4 linked regions of the Drosophila melanogaster genome follow. The gene in region 4 interacts genetically with the main gene of each other region. Each region holds a gene or a part of one and is shown on either strand. Other genes may lie near its edges. The genes, in order: Glut4EF, ey, ph-d and Antp.

Region 1 (5,013 bases), 2.9 Mb from region 4:
CTGATCTTTTTGCGCTCTGTCTCCCTCGTTCTGGGTACCTCTATCCGTTTCCATCAGCCGGTTGATGTTGTTGTTGCTAAGGCGCGGCCGCAGTCCGTAGAATTAATCTACAATATATAATTAGCTGTAAAGCGTAGAAACATCAAGCCATGTATCTCTATTTAGCCCTGAATTTGTAGCGCATTTATTGCAATTGTTTCCCCCATTTTACATTAGTCTTTTTCATTTTTTTTTGTTGTTTTTATTGTGGGTGTTTGTTGCTAACTTGAAATTCTTTCACGAAACCGAATTCTAAACAAATTTTCATTACGACACGATCTCATCATCATCGTCTTATCCGCAGAACAGAATCGTCGTCATTGAGATTGTTTTTTGGGTTTGCGCGTTCGGATTCGGGGCGATTCTATAAATGCCGCAACCGATGATGTTTCACTCTTGAATTATTTTTCGCTGCTTTTATTTATTAACTTTTTTTTGTGTTTGCTTAGCAGTTGAGCAGTTCAACGATTCGAGTGACGTAATGGCAAAGGGGCTGTGACTGGAGGATTAGCTAGATCATGTGTGTGGGATCGAATTGGGGGAATAAACTCACGACTGAGCGATATAGGATGTGTAGTAAGAGCTAAGCAATAAAATTTATAAACGATTGCATTTCTGGAGAGATATATGGAATACGGAATTTCGTATTCTATTTTAGCATGGGATCAAAAAAGGCTCGTTGGGAATCAGATGCAACATAAAAGTGCCACACATTTCCCGCTTTCGCTGTGCATCGAAGATACGTAATTAAATCTGAAGTCGCTTTAGCTTCTGGTCAATCTAATCTCGGGGGCTCGAACTGGCCCTCAAGCGAGAGGGGTTCTCTATATCGAAACGCACGAGCAAGAAGGCCAACCCAGAGCGTAACCCAATTACGTGCCAAAAAGCGGAATGCGACCCTCGACAAGTATTTTTTGTGCTTTTCTCTTTTTTTATTCGTTGCATAGTTGCACAGTTGTATATCGTACAGTACTGTACACTGGGGTGCAAGTAAATATATGCTCTGAATAACCCATTACATAGGCGCATAGATACATATGTATGTATGTACATCTGTCTATGTGCATGTGTATGCTGCTGCCGCCCCCAAAAAAGGGGAGGGGCATGCTGTGGTGCGGCCAAGCCAACCTTGACACACTTTTCGCCGCCCCACAAAGCTGATGATGCTCATCATGATGTGGATGGTGATGGTGATGATGATGATGCTGGCGATGATGAAGACGTCGACAGCACAGCCAGCAGCCTTTCTCAGCTGCAGTGGTCAACCCCCCAAAATGAAAAAGTATCTAAAGGATGCAGAAACTCCCGCTTGGATTTGCTATATCCTCCGCCTTCATTCAAGAAGAGTTTCTCGAAGGTTGAAAATACCCATACCCAATTTTCTAGATAATATACATTCGTAAAGGATGTGCCCACTCACCTCATTTCCAACTGTTGTGATCTTGACAATCACCTCATCCTTGGTAGCGTCGTGTTTGACGACATCGCCGCTCTGCTCGCGTCCATTGTAGGTGAAGTAGACCCGCTGGCCAGGCTGCAGTTCGGTGTCCATGATGGACCGGAATCCGGGTCCAATAAGATCCGACTCGCGGAACTCCTTGATCATGGCGCTGCGACGCAGTGCCTGAGCGGGACTGATGTGTACGTTGGCAGCGCGACGCGTTTCCACGATGACCGACGGATCTGTGGAGGATGTGGACGAGGTCGAGGCCGCGGACGACGTGGTAGCGGTTGGGGACTCGACGGCGGTCTTGAAATCGAAACGGACCAGGTAGCGCGTATCGGCATTAATCGGTGCCTCGCCGGGCACCACAAAAGTGGGCGGCGGCGGCGGCGAGAGCGGTCCGCTGTACGAGGGCGGCGTTTTCACGTCGGATATGGTGCCGGAGTACCAGAGGCCATCCGGACCCTTGGCGCACACCTTGGTGCCGATGATGGAGCGCTTGGCCAAACGGCGGCCGGTGGACATTTTTGTACGTTCGGTTATACTACTTTCAGGGGGGGTTATTTTAGTTTCCAGCGCTTTAAAACACGCTAGATTTTCTAGTCTTTTTTTACGTCTGTTTATTTGAACTTAGAACTTGATCTTGGCCTTAATGGTTGGCCACATTTTCTTTTCGCACTTTAATCACTTTTACTTTTTTTATTGCACTTGAGTATTTGATTTTGTGGATATTTGTTGCACACTTCTTCCCAATCAGTTACACTTTTTTTGTAATGGTTATTAAACGCACTTTGTCTTTTTTGTGGAGTTTATTGCGGACTATATGGGGATATTTGTTATGGGTATTACTTAAGTCTGGCAGACGTTCTTGGTCAGCCGGTAAACGTGAAATTGGCCAAGACTGGGCAGTTTCTTGATGATATTCTTGTGATACAGCTCCAAAGAGAAGGTGACGCGGTGCAGGAGCCACTGGGGCGGATGAAAATGCGGCTTTAACTTCACATGCTCGGCGTCGCTGGGCGTCTGAATGGCGTGGCAGTTGCGTTTGTGCCTAAGCATAATCCAATTTTGACCGCTTGTAACGTCAGCTTGCAGTTCGAGTTTCCTGCGGGGAAAGTTTTTTTTGTTTTTCGTTTTTCGCGCTTTTGCCGGTCGTTACTTTTCACTTTTCTCTCAGTTTTCTTACCAGCACTCACACACACACGCACACTTATACACACAACACACTGACACAACACAGAGAGCAATATGCGATGCAATTGGCGGCTGCTGCACTGATTTGTTTTGACTTTTAGGTTTTTTGCGTTTCGCTTTGTGAATGCGGCTATTTTGCTTCAAAATTGCCCAAAAAAACTAAACGGAACACCAGAAGAGGGCCCGTTTGTCTTGGGTTTTTGGCTACAACTTAGTTTGCTTGGCTTTTCACTTGGCTGTTGGGTATTTTTCAGTTGTTTTGGTTTGGCGGAATTGCCCGAAAAGCGCTTATCGGTCTGCTTCCGAGAGTTGGCTATCAGAGACTGAGCGCACGAAAAACGAAACGAAAAGCAAACGGCCAGTTACAGTTACCCACACACACACACACACACACCGACGCGCTCTCCCTCTCCGACTCTCTCTCTCTTGTTTTTGTGTATGTATATATGCATGTAAGGCATCTACCTGCGTTTGGAAAAGCCAAATAAGACACATGTGTGTTTGTGTGCGAGTGTGAGGCCTTCCCGCAGCATAAAAATGTTAGAGGGAAACTGCAATTTCCACGACTAACAGAACACCCAAAGAAGTGGAAAATCATATATTTATGCTATCTAAGTGCGCAGTAGCTAATCAACAATATAACTATGACGCCATCACTGGATGGATAGAGCATAAAACACGGGGGCAGCATTGAAAAAAAGAGCAGCATAAAATACTACGCAGTTAAAAAAACAAAACCAAATCTACAGAGCACTTGTCACGCATACGCGCATCATAAATGTGCGTGTGTGAGTGCGACTCGCTCTGGTTTATCAACAACAACAGAGCGATAACAGCTGTTGGAGGCGACGCAGCAACAATGTTGCGAAAACAGCTGTTGAACAGCGAACATCAGTCTCAAAACAAACGAGAGAGAAAGAGCGGAAACGAAGTTGGCCAACGCTTTTTTTGGATCCTCTTCAAATCTGAATGGATCCCTGCTGAAGAATTTCATACTTCAAGGATCCGCTCGATCACCAAACAGCCTATTGCCTACCCTAAGGCGATGGCCTCAAAACGTGTTCCTTTTAAAAGCCCTCTTCAATATTGCTGAAAATAAAATTCATAAAATTGCTTAAACACACAAACAGAATTTTTCTTTATTTCGACAGAAGTATTGTGTTGTGACTACCTGTAAATAAAGTCGCAAGTGCTCTGTAAAGAGCACCATAATGCCGGCCGGTTCGCAGCAATAACGTCACAGAATTTAACAGTTAAAGAGAGCGCTGTTTTGCCTGTGCGCGTCTGTGTGCGTGACTGTTTCCCAACTGTGTGTGAGCGCGGGGGAGAGCGACTCACAGCTGTTATGTGCTTTCAAATCCATTCGATTTTGTTTACATCAATTCCATGCTGGCGCTGTAGATGTGAATATGTTGCTGTTGCTGCCGATGGATGTGGATATATGTGTTTCGAGGTTTTCTGGTATTTTTGGGCTCTCTGCGGGGCGAGCATTGTTGTTGCCTTTGGAATGACCTCTGTAGGCATTCTCCGGCAACGTCAGCAAGTGTCGAAGGGCGGTGGATGGAGTCAGAAAGGGGGCGGGGTTCGTTTATTGCGGGGATGGGCGTCTCAATCTTCAACTCCAATAACCAACACATCCATGAAAGATTCAGAACGCCACGGGGCCTAGATTTGCGTAGTTATTGTTCTGGAGTTTCTACGTTCCTGCGTTTTCCGCTTCGCATTCTCGGGGTGGATTTTCTGTGGATTTTCATGCCGCCAGCATTATTGAAGACGTCATTTGCGAACGGAGTGGGGGAAATCGAGAAAAATGCACTGCGTATTTCCCACTCCATTTAACCAAAATCCGAAATAAAAGTCAAAAAATGGAGGACGGACAGACTGACGGACGGAAGACCTTGCGAGATAGTGCGGAAATATTGCTTGCCGCCCTTATCTAGTCGAAAATTCTACTGATTACAGCCGAAGGGAAAACTTATGTAGGTCTTATCTACATTGAAATACACAGAACATAAAGCTCCATCACCTTTAAATACATAATTATGCGCAGGGTGCCAATATAAACGGTAGTTGATAAAACGTAAGATGGATTTTACTGGTATGCTATTGGAAAATTTCAATCCTATGTGGTTTTAGCTACAAAAGTTCAAATGGCACTTTGATATTTGATATGGGTAAGCGATGATTGCTGATTTCTTCCCCATTTCGGACGGAATTGAAGAAAAAGAAGCAGCAGATGAAGAGGAGTGGCGGCCAAGTGCAAAGATTAACTATCTGGTAAATTCAATTAATCATTTCTCCAGTGGAAATTCCGCAGCAGCAACAATAACAAAACA
Region 2 (4,788 bases), on a different chromosome or scaffold from region 4:
ACGAAGAGTTTTTTATTGGCGATTCTTGCTATTATTAATATATGGGTGTCGAAACCCTCGGAGGCGGTCTGCATCTGAAGCAGACTAAGCCGAAACGGAACAACTTTTTGCTCCACGAGCATGTGCCGTGTCGTTGGCACGTGCCACGTGGCGATTGCTTGGGCTGCGTTCCATCCTCAGCACCAGTGCGAAGATAATATGATGATAGCAGGGCTGATTCAGCTTCCTGCGGGGGACATACTTTCATGTGCTACCATGTAGCCTAATAAAAACATTTGTTTCCTCCACCTTTAGGCGTTTTATGATGTAATCTGTGCATATTAAATCTTGAATATTATAAAGGGATATGGCAATCGGATCAAATGAAAATGATTCAGTCTTACCTGTAATAATAAAAATTACATGTGCGAAAGTAAGTTCAAACATTTTATAGTCAATGAAACGCCCAGTAAGTTAAGTATTTAGAACAGTTGCGCGCCTAACATTCTCACATATATTCAGATATCGATCGTGCGTGCATTTTATTCATAAAAATGTCAACGGGCTTGGTTAAATTGTTTAGTGATTGCTAATGTTTTTAAAATATGTCAAATATTTCAACCCCAATTCTTTCAGATTTGCTACAAATTTCGACAGAACAAAATTAAATATTATAAATACAATGTAGAACTATTGCAAGGGTACATTAAAAACATTCTGGAAGTGACTTAGAAGTAATATGCATTATTATTACATTTCACTTTTCAGAAGTCATAAGGACGTTATAAACCGTGTGAGAAGAACTCTTCGCATTGGAGAGCCCAATTGTATTGGAAACAGAAAAATTGGCCGGATATTGCTGTTGAATTTTGTGAATTGCACTTAAATCGACATTATCCCATACAGTCGTGTAGGTGCGCTATAGTTTTTTAATATTTCTCTAGAGGATTTTGAAACATGGCCTTTTAGCCATAACACTGGCCGTCCCTTTCAGGCTATTGGCAACTCGTTCTCTCGCTGTGCGGCGCAAAAGCAGGACAGGAACTTCCTCTTTGGGGCCCACCCAGCCTCCACATGTGACGACAGCTTATGGGATGGTGGCTGGTGGGTGTGACCGTGCTTAGGCTTGTCGACATTTTACTAAACAACCGTACGCCCACACCCAGCTCCCCTCGATATGGCTGTGTGTGTAGGCTCGCACTGCCGAAGCGGAAACGTGCGGGTAGTTAACGGAAATGTGAAGCGCTTATTGTATCGGAATGAAACAATTCCATTGGACGAGTGTGCTGCTGGCAACTTGTCTGGCCAGCTTGAATTCAAATGGAATGCAACATGTGTGTAATTGCTGGGGGGGGGGGGGGTGTGGCACTGGGCGACTTCTCGAAAGGCGGTGAAAGCGGCAGGCGCTGCACCGTTTACACACAGTTTCTTGCTGGAAGGAACAACATCCAGTTCCAGACCAGCACTTTCATGTCTGTTCAGGACCAAACCATTCCATTATGTGCTGCTGGTCCGTCTAGAGTTGGTTCTTCCTTTATTTTCAGATTCCGTTGCCACGATATGCTTAACGACACAACGCAGCTGCAGAACTGCACCGTGCCGAATCGCTTTCATCTTCCGCCAACTAACCTTACACGGGTGCGAGAGGGACAACTGGTGTGCTTCAACAACCAATCATGGGGCTAGCCTATAGCAAATGGTGGTGAGTGGACCAGCCATGCTGGTCTTTGCCAATCGCACGCGGTTCCGTGGCAACAAACCCAGCCTTTTGCGCAGGGGGGTGCTGGCCAGCCGAGGGTCGGCCTAGTCTGTTTCTGAAACGGATCCGGGTAGGCAGGTCGTGACATTATTATTTCGTGTTGCGCTTCTAAGGTAAATACTGTTCCGCCGCCGTGTCGCGAAGTTTAAGAAAGGTTGTTCGATTCACCGTGCGTATTAATCTTTATATCAAATGAAATTACCGGCTAAGTTAGCAATCGGTAGACCCGGGAATAATACGTGTTACGTGCAGTACAAATATGATGCTAACATGAGTGCAATCAAAAGTGGCGTTCGAAAAATGAACAAGTGAACTAAAACAAAAGCGGCTGCTCAGTTATATTTGTGTTTCCGAATTCGTAACTCTTAGGTCCTCACGGCGCGATCAACAATAGGTTTTTTGATCACTGCAGGACGTCATTCTCACCATCTGCGCAAATTTACTCTTAACTCTTGCTTGACTCGCCCTGCAAGAGTTCGCACGGCGTGCGTTTGGCTGAACACAGCAGTCTCTTGGCTAAAGCTTTCATGAGCAGTGCATGTAATAAAAACTGAGATCCAACTATGTTTACATTGCAACCAACTCCAACTGCTATAGGCACCGTGGTTCCCCCATGGTCAGCGGGAACATTGATAGAGCGCCTGCCGTCTTTAGAAGACATGGCTCACAAGGGTAAGTGAATTTTTTAAATTTCTTGATTGGCATCATCGTCTTTATCCGACCCTCTTATAAATATATATGAGTCTTAGCCAACACATATGTTAATGCTGCCCATGGGCAGTTGATCCGGTCCTACTAGGCGAGTGCAGTTTCGTTCGGCTGTTGGTCTCTTTTGGCGCAGTTTACCAATAGATAAAAAGCTTCTGAACTGAATCGTTTGCGAACTCTTCTCTCAAACTCAAACTCCCGAGAGTAAGACGGCTTTATACTCCGTATAAATTGTCCAAATCAAAGATATTCAAATCTTCGCCGTGACTCTTATAATTCGAAAAACCTATATTTGTATTATACCCGTAGCTTGTTGCTAATTTGTATTTAAAGTAGTTAGTGGAAGGAAGAGTTCCCGGCTAGTCGATTTTCCGATGACCGTTGGCATGTCTGTCCGTCAGTATTGACGTCGAGACCTTTGGAAGCGAAATAAGTAGGAATTATGCAAATTCCAGTAATGCATACGCAGCTTAATTTTATATTAAACCATTGTCACTCACTCACATTGTAAATTACAACGCAAAGGCGTTTAATGATCAATGGCGTTCCTACGGGCGTATCTCATGCTATCCCGCGCGTATATGATTATTGAGTACTTCATACTAGCTGACTCTTTCGTTTTATACAAATTTGTATACTCGTTACTCATAGATTAAAGGGTTATTAGATTTTTTAAATTTAAAGTATATATATTCTTGATCATGGTCAATCGGTCAATCTAGCCATGTCCGTCTAGCCATGTCCGTCTGCATGGACGTCGAGTTCTTAGGAACTATAAGAGCCAAAAGATTGCAATTTCTCGTTCACACATGCAGCCCAATTACGGGTATTTGATAGTCAATAAACCGGACTATAGCTCTCTTTCTCCTGTTTTAGCTCATAACGCTAACTGAAAAAGATTAAGCGCCTCCTTCTAAAAGCCCCATAAACGGCCCAAGTAGTCTATGGTATATATTCGTTCATACTGGGAACTTTTTAAACTAGTTCTTTTAAGTAATAGCTTAGGTCAAAAGTGATATTCTAGTTGAATTCTTTAACCATTTGGTTGTATACCTAGCTATGATTTATCCGTTTGTATTCTTCACGACTACCTTCTGCACGCAAGTTGCGAAGTCTTTTCCTGCAAGGTTTAAAACTATGCGGCTTACTGCTGAAATCGAAATTAGTTTGATTACTTTTAATACATTTTTTTGCACTTTTATCTCGCAATAAAATGATAACCCAAATACATAGCTTATGTTTTTGGGTTTCAGTTTAATTAAAACAATTAGGTAATCCTGATTTTTCAATTCGTTGCAGGTATAATATATTACAAAAAATAATTCGAATCGAACTATGACCTGAAATTTTATATTGCCAAAAAAAGTAGAGTATACCGAATTTAATTAATACATATAACTGATATATGTAAGAAAATATGTAACTAACAATGTAATGAAATAATTCTAATTCCTATGCAATCTGGCTCAACTTCTTAACTGAAATAAGAGAAAATGTTATAGTAGAGTTTCTCGATCAAACACAGGTCTAATTTAAAATTTGCAGTATTTTAGTTCCCGAATTCAGAGTGTTTAATAATGCATGTTCTTTAGAGACTAGGACAAAAAATCTGCAGAGTGTTCGGCAACTTTTGCAGTAGATTTCAGATTATAGATAGATTACAAAGAGAATAAATAAAACAAAAGAGAATGCTTTAGTCGAGTTCCGACTATCAGATACCCTTCACTTCGCTAGTGGGAATGCAAACGGAATGCAAATATATATGCGGGAATAAAATGAGAAAATATTTAAAAATGGTTTGAAAGTGTGGGTGTGGCAGTTTAGGGCGGTTTTAGTGCGTTTGAGTGGGTATTCTGTATTCTGTATGCCTCTGTATGAGATCTGGACGTTCATACGGACGGACATGGCCAGAATGACTTAGCTTTGATCCTGATCAAAAATATATATACTTTATGTGGTCGAAACGCTTCCTTCTACCTGTTACACACTTTTGAACGAATCTAGTATACCCTTTTACTCTACAAGTACTAGTACTTAAAATATGTTACATTTTTATAAACACTTAAGCAAGTTCAAAGTTGGTTCAAATTTAAAGATCTATTCCACTATTATTATAAATGAATTCCAAGTACAAACTGACTTCTTGATACGAATTTTACTCCTTTGATTTTCTTTTTTATAGACAATGTGATTGCAATGAGAAATTTACCCTGTTTGGGTACCGCTGGTGGTAGCGGACTAGGCGGTATTGCTGGGAAACCTTCCCCTACTATGGAAGCCGTGGAAGCCAGCACAGCGTCACATCCCCATTCGACATCTTCATACTTCGCCACAACTTACTA
Region 3 (7,609 bases), on a different chromosome or scaffold from region 4:
AAAAAAGGTTTCGTAAAACTAAAAAAAAAATTAAACTCCGACCACTGATTTGATCTATAAAAGTTGGACAGCGTTTTCGGAACCTTGCAATAAAGGCAAAAATTCTTCAGACGTTACTCATTACGACCTAAGTTTATCAATAAATTAAAGGTTTAGTTGGATTCAATTCAGTTTCACTTAGGAATTACTTCAGGCTTAAGTTTTAATTCTAACTACGTAAATATAATCCCAGATTACCTCTAGTTCAAATGATTTTTTCATGTTCTTTGCATAGGGTGTTGTGAAATGATTAACAACGTTCAAATAAATACGTTAGTGATTATGAGTAATTGTGAACTTCTATACAAAGTGATGAATTGATGACTGGGATGGCAGTCTATGCTCTATCATACATGTGGCGTCCTGTCATTTGAGCTACGATATTACCCCTCTTGCTATGTTTAGATTACGTACAAAAGGATTGAAAGTCCGCTTCAAGTGAATCAAATTCAGCTTGGGTGGCAGACCCGGTTGGACCCGGTCCACAGGTAGGCAAAGGTCCATGCAAAGGTCGTGGGAGATCAGCATGGTCAAATAGAAGCTCAGGATACTGCCCGCTCCTATCCTCAGACTCTGGTAGACTGCTGAAGACTGTTGATCCAACGGCGGTGGCGCCAGCGGTCCTATAACCTCCCCGTCCTTTTCGTCGCACAGAGTCATGGACTCTACTATTGCCACAATCTTGGGGTCTGATCGGGGTGCTTAAACTAGCTGCAGCTTCGGCGCCGAAGGAGGGTCATATTCCTTGCTTTCGTCATGTGCGGGAAAAACAACTACATCACCTAATTATGGATTTCTCGCATAGATTCTGGATGGGATGGGCCTCGCAACAGAGTCAGTGATTCCAGGCACCGGTTGCTCTCTGGGGAGTTCCCTTTGTAGATTAGGTGCATGTAGCTGATGATTAGGGTGTACGTGCTGTGAGAAGTGGTGAGTCGGAACGTGATTCACTTTGTTCTGTCTGATCACATTCGCTCACGAAGTAAATGTCGTTACATTTAGGTGAAACGCGGGAAACTAAAGAAAGCGGTCTTTTGAAACCTTGACTTTGTTGCGTGTTTTTAATCCTTTACATCGCCTGGCGGGACCTCCTTAATGGACTCCACCTTGGCCACAATTTTGAGAGCTGGACCCAGCTTCATGCCCATGGCGTTAACCAAATGGTTTTCTTTGAGCAGCAGCAGCGCTTGGCCGTCGATCTCCTGCTGTATAAAGTCGTCCACGTAGTCCTGGCAACCAGGCAGTTCTCGGATGAAATTGCTAACTTCTTCCACACTCCAACTGCTGATGGGAGGGCGATCGGATCCATTTATATTCGAGGATGGTATTGCTAGGACCGGCGCAACCACTCCAGCTGAAACCACTGGCAGTGACACAGTGGGAGCTATTGCAATTGGCAAGGGCAATGTCAGGGGCAACGAAAGTGGTGAAGATGTCGACATAGCCGCCAGCACTGGCATCGAAATCGGTGGGACCTCCGGCGTAGCCGCTTGAATTGGCAAAGCGTCCGATACTGTCTGGTATGATTCTGTCTGCATCTTCTCCTCAGCCATGGCTTCATCCAGTCTGTCCACCAATGCCATTGCGTCCACCCCAACTATACCACCTGTCCCCAGGCCGTTCGTCTCTCCTGATCCAACTCCACCGATGCCGTTCTTTGCCTGCCTCGAGCATCCTGGCGAACAGTAGCGCTTCCGTTTCAGCTTTGCTTTGTGCTCCATCTTTCCACACTGCTCGCAAGCAACCATATCCGAGCCTGGAGCTGATGCTATTCCACTTAGCTTGATGTCCTCCTGCATGGTTGCCTTTTTCTCTGCGCGAAGGAATGACACGTTAAGATTGCGAAAAAGCATTGGTACCAGAAGTTTATACTCACTTGGCGGCTCATCGCTGACGTCTTTGTCTGCATATCGCTGTCTGGTGACGGGAAATGGCTCGTTGGCCTCCTGGATGATGAAGCCATCGATGACGTGAGTTAAGACGTTCGGCTTAATCATCGCCTTGGGGAGATCCTTCGATCCATTACTGATACTCGACGTGGTGGTTGTGGTTGTGCTGGTGCAACTTGTGGTAAAGGTGCCAGAACTGGTAGTGGTTGTGCTAGCGGTTGAGACAGCCGTGCTGGCTGTCGTTCTGGCTACTCCAATCCCATTGGTGATCGTTGTCGTGGTTGATGTTGATGTTGCGGACGTTAAACTGCCGCAGGTTGTCAGCTTCGGCTCTTCTTTCCCACTGACACTGTTGGGAATGGTGCTACTCGGTGGCTGCACTGCTGCATTGCTTTGCTTGCTGGTGGGAGTGGTAGCGCCCTTTGACGGCGTGGAAGACCTATCTGAGGCATCTCCATTGGACAGGGCTTCGCCTGTGGAACTACTGGCCTCTACGGATGCGCTAACAGTGGCAGGAGTAGATGATTTGGGGGTAGTGCAGGTGTCCTTTCCTGATACAGGAGTCTTGGGCGAATCAATGGGCACCAGGGTTGCGGTGGGCCCTTTTGAAGGTGTCTCTTTGGTGGGCGTGGCTGGAAAGCCTGCTCCTCCACCGCTACTAGCACTGCTTAGTGTGACCAGCTGTCCAGACGATGGAGTGACAGCGGTGCTAGAAACACTAACGGGTGGGGCAGTGGATAGGTGACCCACGGTGGCATTCATCATCGAGGTCATGGCCAGAATGGGATTTGTTGTAGGTGAGGGCGTGGTGGGTGTAAGTGAAGGTAGTCCCAGTTGCTGCTGCTGCTGCTGCTGTTGAGACCCTCCGGCAATAGTGGCGCTGATTAGCTGCTGATGTTGATGGATCTGAGTACCTTGCGTCTGAGCCTGCTGCATACTGGCCACCGTACTGCTGGTGACCAGAGGAGTGCTGCTCTGGCTGGTAATTGTGACCACACTGCTTGTGGGGAGCGTAGAGGAACTGCAAGTAATCGGTTTGGTTGTCTGAAAGATGGCGCCAGACACCGAGAGAGCTTCTTGTAGGGCACTGGATGTTATTCCGGCAATATCTTCCGCCGTCATCGATGGTGAAACCGAAAACGGCACGCTGCTAAGCTGCAACTGTCCAGACTGCTGTTGCGGTTGCTGCTGCTGCTGTTGAGAAGTCGCTCCAGTTGACTGTTGCACCACAATCTGCTGGATAATATTCTGCTGCTGCTCTCGCTGCTGTTGTTGCTGTTGCGCTTGAGCCTGCACTTGGGCTTGAACTTGTGCCTGCGCCTGTTGCTGTAGCTGCTGCTGTATCAGTTGGTTGTGAAGTTGCTGCTGCTGCTGTTGCTGGTGGGACGTGATGAATTGATTTGGCGCCACCTGAAGGATTTGCTGAGTGGCATTCGCGAGAGCCTGTTGATGCTGCGCCTGGGCTTGGGCAACTTGCTGCTGTTGCTCCCTCTGCTGTTGCTGAGCCTGCGCGACTGCCTGTTGTTGTTGCGCCACCGCTTGCTGTTGCTGGGCGTTAACCTGCTGCTGCTGAGAGACCTGTTGCTGCTGTTGTTGCTGGGCCTGAACAGCCGCTTGCTGCTGCTGCATTTGAATGGCAGCAATTTGCTGTTGCAACATTTGTTGTTGAAGGATGTGCTGTTTCTGAAACAGTTGTAGCTGCTGTTGCTGCTTGTCGACTCCTGCCGCAGTGGCTGCATGAAGGGTCTGTCCATTCTGCAGGGTGATCGGAGTGCCCGTTGTGCTCATCACAACCATTCTGGAAAGATGCAAAAATAAGTACTGTGACAAGGCAGATAATAAACAAACAATACTCACTTGTTGCCCGCCGCATTAACCACCTGCTGGAGATTCGTCGCCTGTTGCTGCTGCTGCACGGTGGTCAGGTGGCCTACTACCTTATTTTGTCCTGCGACTTGACCGATTTCGGTTTTCAATGTGGCTAAAGCGGGGCGCACCGGCTGCTGCTTGTTGCGCATTTTGGCCTTCAGCAGGCTCTGGTTCTGGGCAGTCTGTGTGGATACGGAACTGGCCGGACGCACTTGAGTTCCATTGTGGGGCATGACAGGGGCTCCTGGTCGCTGCAGAGCGGCTGCAGTGAGTTGCTGCTGCTGTTGCTGCAACTGGGCAGTAGCCACCGCTAGTTGCTGCTGCTGCGTCTGGTTGGTAGTGCCAACCTGCTGCTGCTGCTGTTGCTGCTTGGGAGCAAGTGCATCCAGTTGAGTGCGTGCCTTAGTGGGCGTCTGCGTCACGTTGCATTGAATAATCTCTGTAGGAAGATAGTTGACTTTAGTACCTATCCGATGCAATATACATGACAATATTCTTACGGTTTTGCTGGGTCTGCAAAGTCTGCGTCGCCGGTTGCTGTTGAATGAACATGCCTTGGGTTCCGTCTGGCTGGTTTCGCAGGATGATCTGATTGGAGCCGAAGGGTTGCAGGCCCGCCGCATTCTGCCAGAACCAAGGGATCTGCATTTGTTGCGCTTGGCCAGCGTTCAAAAGTTGGGCAGTCTGAACAGACTGTCCACCCACACCGACTGGCAAAGTCGACTGTGAAACCTGCACGCACTGCTGAGTGGTTTGGGTGGTCTGCTGCTGCTGTTGCTGAACCTGCTGCACCTGCTGGGTCTGTGTTGACCCAGTAGATCCAGGACCCGTCGCCGCCTGCACCGTGCTGCTGGTGGTGGTCACCTTCTGAACCACTTTCTGGGCCAGCTTGCCCTGCGCATCCACTCCCACCTTGGCCAGAGCGGCAGTCAGCTGTTGCTGTTGCTGCTGCTGGTTGAGCTGCTGTTGCTGCTGGTTAAGCTGTTGCTGCTGCTGTTGGGTAAGTTGCTGTTGTTGAGCTGCGGCGGCCATTGATTGCAGAAGGTTTTGCTGCTGCTGTGGCGAGTGGGAGATGACATTCACCGGCGAGATGAGCACCGTCTGAGGCGACTGATTGTGGTTCGAAGGAATGCAGGTCGCGTAATTTCCGCCAGCGAATCCCGCTTGGCCACCGATCATTTGCTTGGCGTTTTGAGTCGTGGTGGTAAGCATCTGGGGGCCGTTGCCTTGGAATGGCTTGCCGGCGGTGATCACCTGGATTGGCTGCTGACCGAGGCCTCCTGGATGCAACAGATTTCCCGACACAATCATTTGGGGATACAGGAAACTGGTGGAGGGTTGCATTAGCTGCACCGTCCTTCCCTGTGTCCAATCCCCGCCAACTCCTCCAGTGGCCGCTGCCAATTGCATCGGCGACATGGTGCTGATGGCTGTGGAGTGCTGCTGTTGCTGGCTTTGCTGCGAGTTGGCCGGACTAGCTGCTCCTCCGGCTCCGGCCGAGGCTGCTCCTCCACCGTTGGCTTCCGACAGCTGCTGCTGCAGCTGCAACTGCTGCTGAACTTCCATAATGTTGGTTGCATGCTTTAGTTCAGTTCCACTGCCACTGGTCGTGTGCGTGGGAAACTCTTGCTTCACCTGAATGGCGTAGGGATTGTTTGCATATAACTGCTGCAGCTGCTCGGGGGAGATCTGCAGCGGCACATTGGTGGCGGCCGCCACCTGTTGAGCTGGACTCTGTGACTTCTCCAGTTTGCGGCCGGTTGTCTTTGAGTCGGGTGCGCTTGGCGATCTGCTGCTGAGCGGTAGTAGTGGGTGGCGCCGTCTGATTGATGGCGTTCCGACTGACCCACGTGCTGCCTTAGAGCTGGGCGATTGGGATGGACTCTTGGCAAAGTCCTCGTCGAAGCTGATGCCTGCCTTCTGGGCGAGTGTTTCCAGGCACCTTAGTGGCCGCTGGGGGTCCACGCGAGTGGTGGAGTTGACCTTTACAGATGTGGTGGCTTCCGGGGAAGGTGGTGGTGTACGTATTGTTGTTGCTGATTCACTTTCGGTGTCCCCACTGCTGGAAAGAGAAAGAGGAAACGCACACAGACTATCAGTAAATTGCTTTAAACACAAACAAACACGGACACACTTGGCGCGGCTCCGAATCCGTGGGGCATGCTTCATATTCATGTTTAAATTTATATTTATATTCTTATTCATATTCTCTTAGCGCTTGACGAACAAACCGCACAACAACAAACTGCGACTGCATGTTACTCCCGCCAAAGACTCTCTCTCTTGCTCTCCAACGCGAAAAGGGGGACGAGGAACAGAAAAAGAAAGAAGGGGGTGCGACAGGGACGCACTACCATTGAGAAAGACAAAGACGGGATCGATCTGGGTCCAAAAACGCCAAAGAAAACGAAAACGAAAACAAAGTCGGGACGAAAATGTGAGAAGGGAACGAGAGATACACTTTGTTTTGGATGATCGTTCACTCACGAGGTAATTTACTTACAGTGGATACTGTTTAGGTGAGACGTGGTAAGCTTAAACACCAACATATTATATGGGAAATTACAAATGATTGCAGCTACAACTTTGTACAACACTAGCCCCACCGTGTATTCAGTACTTTTTACGGAACAGGTAAATAAATATTTTAATTTGTTCATGATTCGTGACCCACTAAAAGTGCACTGTTTTTCATATGTGCATGCACACCAACACCTAAAGCAGGTCACTTGTCAGCGTTGCCTGTGCCCGAAACATCTATTTATAGTAGGATTGCTCTCTGCTGCATATTCCCCTTCTCCATCACCTCCTCCCATCTACTACGCAGAGAGGAAGTTCGAGTGGGTGTAAGGGAGACCACTTTTATTTACGGATGGCCCTTGGGCGATGGTTATAAGCCATCATGGTGATATCCAAGGGGACAGGTTCAAAGACCTAAGCTGGGCGCTCAAAATGCTGTCGCCAGTTGTCCAGGAGTAAGAAATGGCCGCGGCTCAGAGGAGCGGAAGGAGCAACCGGCGCCACCAATAATAGTTAGGAGTTTCAGTTACATTTGGTGTGTATCGGGGGTGGATTTTGGCTTCCATTTCCATCGGCAGGCTAAGAGCGGAACGGATTTGGAAGGGGGGTAATAAACCTAGGCACAGCAGCATCTTCAACTTGCAACCGAAAGACTGGTTTCTTTCTACCGCGCCACGATATGTGCATGTGTGTGTGTGCATGTGCGTGTGGCGGCATACAATAATGCCATCATTATTTGATTTTTCCCTTAGCCAAAAATTGAGTTGCAAGAGGCAGAAACAGAGGAAGAGGAGAAGGAGAAAACGAAGAGGCAGGGAGCAATGACAACAATGCGGCGCAAACAACAGGCAAAGAGCATGCGCCGACGACAGCGTCTCATCAGAAAAAATATGTTTTACCGTTTTCATTTTTGCTTTCCTTGCTGTACTGTATTATTGTATATTTGGAGGCACCTGTACATGCCTAACATTCAAAACGACGCAACTTTAGACGCCGCACAGCATTAATTGTTTTCACTAATCACTTATAGTCAGCACCGATTTGCATTGATCGCCAAAAATAAATATATAAATAAATACTACGAAACGGTGGTAGGGTGTGTGTGCGTCGCGTCGGCGCTTTTTTTTTCCCCCGTTCAATACACATGCGGTATGCGACACATCGACACCACACCAACACGAACGCAAAGAGAGCAGAGCGCAAGAACCGCACGCCGCCAAGTTAAGTTTCAAACTGAACCGCGCGCTACAGCGACAACTCTACTTTTGCTCGGATCGGAAACAAAATGAGCG
Region 4 (4,925 bases):
CCGACTCATGTCGCCATCTATCAATGGGGGCTTAAATATAATTTTAATTTCAAAGGCAAGTCAAACAAGTTTTCTTTGTGGTGGTCGGCTGTTTTCGTTGAAGCTTTTTGTTGGATTCGTTTTATTAACAACAATTTCGTTTACTTTTGTTGCTAAGTTTTGGGCTTTCGGCCGAATCTCAGAGGTCGTGATTAATGTTTTTACAAAAGAGTTGTCGCCATTGGTGTGCTGATGTATAAATCTTTTTGCTGCTTTGCCATGAGTGTGAACTTGATTAAGAATCCGTTTAAAAGGAAGTGGTTGCTCATGTATAAGGGTCTAAATATGTTAGTAAAGAATTGTAGGACTTAAACAAAAATAGTCTAGGGAAATGTGCGTTTTCATACAAATTTTGAATATTTTCCCCCCATTTCTCCCAATTGCATCGGTGTTTTTTCTGTCTGTCACTCGGCCATAAATCATAAAAGTTTTTGCCGGGCAAACAGAACGGAGTTTATGATTTTGTCAGCTGTGTAACATTTCCAGCTGATAAAATCAATAAATTATGAGAAAATAATTTCATTTGATGCCATCTATTTGATTTTGCAAAAATCGAAGCTGGCAAAAATGCAAATGGAAATGTGTTAACGATAAGCAGGCTGAAAGTAAAAGCCAGGATAAGTTCATTAAAGCCCTTTTGGACAGATCGCTAGAGATACTTTCCAAATTATGGAACAGATTTTTAAATGTTTATTAAATTACGAATAAATTCCGCACCTCTGTGGGGCGCAAGTGCAATGAGAGAGCGGGAATGGAGAAAGAGAGAAAGGTAAAAGGTAGCGAGCGACAGACAGAGAGGACGACAAATATGCAAAGGCCAGACAACTAGGACAACAACAAAATCAGCAACAACAAGGACAATGCACTGCAACAATGGCCGCATAAATTTTCTATGCGGAGAACCCGAGAGTGTCCTGTTCGTCCAACTATGTGCGTGTGTGTGTGTGTGTGTATGAATGTGTTTGCGTGTGTGTCTGAGAGAGAAATGGCTGCCCTTTCCCACCATTCGGAAGTGAAACTATGTTGCCCAGGATATGCGCAATAATTCAAAAACGAATTCCAAGTTCAAAGAGCCCATTACTCGTGGCCAGTTAAGTTCGGAGCTCCGTTTTCAGTTTTCCAGCTTCAACTCCCGGGATTCCTGAAAGCATCCCACCACCCCTCCTCCCACTTTGCAAATTTATGCAAATGGCTAATAAGCCTGTCAACAGTTTGCAGTTTGCAGGCCAAATGAGTGATGACCTGGCTGTAGCTTCCGAAAAACGCCCTTTGAGTTATGAAGTGTTGAATCTGAGTTCGGGCAAAAAACTTATACCTTGCCCACTGCACATCGAGAAACAGATGCGCTATTCTTTGTACAGAGTCATTAATGTCAAAACTTCCACATATTTAGACAAGTATTTGGAAATGTATAAAGTTTCCGTCGGCATATACATAGACTGATATTCTAATCCATGTAAGCTTCATTGAAATGATTGATTTTATTCAAACATTTAATGGACAGCTAATAGTAACATAATATACTTATGTCAACCATTTTTTCAAAAATAATGTTAAGAGAACCTCACAATCATTTTTGTTTAAAAATTATATATAATTTTTAGTGACAATCGAATAATTCTTTGACGGTATGCATAGATGACATTACATTACATGTACAATTACCTTTGCAATTATTTAACAATATTGATTTTTTACTACAATTTAAAGTTAAGATTTTTTCTTCACTTTCAGTTACGATTATTATTAAATTGAATATTTGAAATAGTTTGGATAGGCAGAAATAACATAAAATTTGTAGTAAAATATAATTATAATCAATTTAAGCATTGTTTTCAAAACGCATTAACCATTTTTGTGAATAAAGACATTTTAATCCCAATTGGCCAATAAAAGAAACATATAACCATTTTGATTTCAGTGAAGAAGGTGAGGAAATTGAAAAGTCGAGCCCTGGCACTTACCTCTTAAATCCAATAACGTGCGCTTATCCTTCAATCCTGCTGGCTTTTGGAATTCTCAGCTAACGGTAGCTTGCACGTGCGCCAAAATAAAAAGTTTGCCCGCAGTGGAATCGAAACTTTTTCCGCTCCTTATTCTTTTCCGTTTTATGTATTTTGTTTTTTATTATTTATTTTTTTTTTGTGTTATTTTGGCTGTCTACGTTTTATTTCTGTTGAATTTGTTGTGGTTTGAGTTGAAAGCTTCAGCTTTTGTTTGTTGCTAGTGTGTAGATATTGCTCGATTTACGGGGGACTAGAAAACGTTGTTGTACAGATTCGAGTTTTCGGTGCACGATGCGTTTTTAAGAATAGATAAACACTTAGGTAGTAGGATTTGGCTTGATAAATTTGAACTCTAGCTCATTTGCAGCACAGTCAGCCCAGATCCATTAGTAGTATTGCACAATATGTGGATGAATTTTAATTTGAATCCAGACACCTGCCAGACACTCGAACATCATAAAAAGAAACGCGCGCGAAGTTCAATTCCAATTTCTCTGACGGTGTTTTTGTTTGCTGTTTATGCGATGGCGCCTGCGATTACAATTACGATTACGGTTACGATTACGGTTATTATTATAATAATGGGTTTATGACGATCTGCGCCATGCGATGGACAGTGTGCGACTGATTGCGGTTCTAATTTTTTACGATTATTGTTATGATTATTTTTACGGCCTTTATGATCTTAGCGGGCTGACAATTGGGATAAGAGAGCGGTCGCGACGACGGAGAGCGAGCGAATACGAATGCGAATAGTTCAGTTCAGTTTAGTTCAGTTCAGTTCAGCTCCGAGAGCCCAGCCCCAAGATATTGGCCGCTATAGCGACTACGGAATACGGGGCACCGAATACCGTTATGCTGCTGGGATCCCTCTCGCACACACACACATACAGTCGCACGTGGGCTAAGTCAACGGAACACGGACGGGTCCTCGAGTGCTTTGTTGTGTGATGTTGATTTCTTTACGACTCCTATCAAACTAAACCCATAAAGCATTCAATTCAAAGCATATACATGTGAAAATCCCAGCGAGAACTCCTTATTAATCCAGCGCAGTCGGCGGCGGCGGCGCGCAGTCAGCGGTGGCAGCGCAGTATATAAATAAAGTCTTATAAGAAACTCGTGAGCGAAAGAGAGCGTTTTATTTATGTGCGTCAGCGTCGGCCGCAACAGCGCCGTCAGCACTGGCAGCGACTGCGACCGCGACAGAGGTCCGATTCTGCTTCTGCTCCGGTCATAAAGTATTTTGCAAAAGAACCGTTCTGCTCTCGTTGCCATTTTGAGTGACTGAGAGAGCTGAGCGAGTGGGAGCAGCGAATTGGCGCCTGACTTGAGTTGACCGGCTTGAGTTGCCGGCCCGAGCTCGCTGAGCTGCAAACTGTAGTCAGTCTTCAAAAGAAGATCTTATGATGCACATCCAGTTATTTTCGATTATTCAGTTCCCAGATTTATTTTGGTTGGTATATTTGATTTCACTTTTTTATTAGGTTTTTAAGAAATTTGTTTCATTCATTTTGGTTTATTAAATACAATTTTTTGCAAGGTTCAATTTTAAGTTTCTTTCTCTTAAGTGCTCTTTTCAGTTTCTCTAAAATCGAAACTATTTAAAATTCGATTGTCTGGGCATTATCGAGTAGTTTCTACTTTTATTTCGAAGAGCGATTACTATATCTTTATAACTTAATATCTTTATACCTTTTTAACCATTCTTCTGGACTATATGGTCAATCAATTCATTTGCTTTTAATTTCTTAAAATAGCGTAACGATGTGAAAGATGTGTACATCTTCAGTTTACTTGTTTTTAAATTTTTGCGGTCAAATCTACCATTTTGTGGGAGACCACCTTCTATAAAATCAATTAAAATAATTGTACAATTTACAAATACGGTTCTCTAAAGGCCTTGTGTTGACTTTTTAGTTTTTAAAGTATCAATCCGTCGATTACTTCAGACTGAATCATTAATTTACAAACTCATTTATTTATTTATTTTACCAGTGAAAATAATCTAAAATAGGGTTTTGCAATGGAAAGGTCGAAAGTTTCTGTTTGCCTATTATGTAAAATAATTGTAAATTGTTATGCTGCTTAAGTACTTATAAGAGTAAAAAACGTTTTTGATTTCGATTGTCTCGATTTTTTATCTTTTTTAGATGTTCTTAATTAACGCTTATAGATATGGTATATAAACGTATAAACGTATCTTTTAATAATTATTTTTGTAAATATACCACAACCATACATAATTAACAGTTTTGTATAGCAAATGTGATTTGCCCGATGAAGTCATATCTAGACGTTTTGATATCTCATTATCGGCTAACATTCGATAATCGGGAGAATGATGGCCGCCGTGAATTATGGAACCCGGAATACGGTACTTGGAACCGGGGAGTATGGCATCCAAACATCCACTTGCCGACGGCAAAACCATCATGGCCGAGTTTATATCGAAGCGCGCCAACAACAAATCACATGCACGCACACATGCAGGCCATCACTCACACGCACACAATCACAATTCAGCATCGCTCTCACTCTCTCTCTTTCTCCTACGCTCTCGCTCTCCCACAGCTGTTGTGGAGCGGAAAAAGAACAACAACACAAGTTGGCCGAATTTTTGCAGCCGCTGCTTCTGCTTGCGGCGCTGCCAGCGTCGTAAACAGGGAGGAGTCCGCCACAGACGCACACTCATAAAGCATTCTCAGAGACCGCACACACACAAGCGCGGCACACAAACGCACAAGATGGATGGCGGCGCAGGCAGAGAGCGAGAGTGCGAGCGAGAGGGGCAGACGCGGGTGCGAGCGAGACGGCCAGATGCGGCCGCGTTAAGTGTGACGAATGTGCCATTATTTTGCTTTATGTGTGTCGTGAGCG

The links.
Region 1: of Antp (region 4) and Glut4EF, changing one enhances a phenotype caused by changing the other (phenotypic enhancement), as found in Drosophila melanogaster (one study listed by BioGRID).
Region 2: of Antp (region 4) and ey, changing one suppresses a phenotype caused by changing the other (phenotypic suppression), as found in Drosophila melanogaster (2 studies listed by BioGRID).
Region 3: of Antp (region 4) and ph-d, changing one enhances a phenotype caused by changing the other (phenotypic enhancement), as found in Drosophila melanogaster (one study listed by BioGRID).

The regions. Positions count from the first base shown.
Region 1 is NT_033777.3:9,872,670-9,877,682, reverse strand, and holds the start of Glut4EF (glucose transporter 4 enhancer factor), read right to left. Parts: upstream 3,003-5,013; 5' UTR 2,543-3,002; coding exon of another isoform or gene 2,333-2,542; 5' UTR 2,009-2,332; coding exon 1,460-2,008; intron 686-1,459; exon of another isoform or gene 492-685; intron 1-491. Other genes in the region: CG46467 (uncharacterized protein), read right to left, coding at 2,333-2,542.
Region 2 is NC_004353.4:702,864-707,651, forward strand, and holds the start of ey (eyeless), read left to right. Parts: upstream 1-1,787; 5' UTR 1,788-2,301; coding exon 2,302-2,410; intron 2,411-4,565; exon of another isoform or gene 4,566-4,628; coding exon 4,629-4,788. UniProt on the Drosophila melanogaster protein: Involved in eye morphogenesis.
Region 3 is NC_004354.4:2,115,766-2,123,374, forward strand, and holds the start of ph-d (polyhomeotic distal), read right to left. Parts: upstream 6,028-7,609; 5' UTR 5,960-6,027; coding exon 5,922-5,959; intron 5,860-5,921; coding exon 4,298-5,859; intron 4,237-4,297; coding exon 3,786-4,236; intron 3,727-3,785; coding exon 1,916-3,726; intron 1,853-1,915; coding exon 1,101-1,852; 3' UTR 1-1,100.
Region 4 is NT_033777.3:6,996,203-7,001,127, forward strand, and holds the start of Antp (antennapedia), read right to left. Parts: upstream 3,027-4,925; 5' UTR 2,004-3,026; intron 1-2,003. UniProt on the Drosophila melanogaster protein: Sequence-specific transcription factor which is part of a developmental regulatory system that regulates segmental identity in the mesothorax. Provides cells with specific positional identities on the anterior-posterior axis.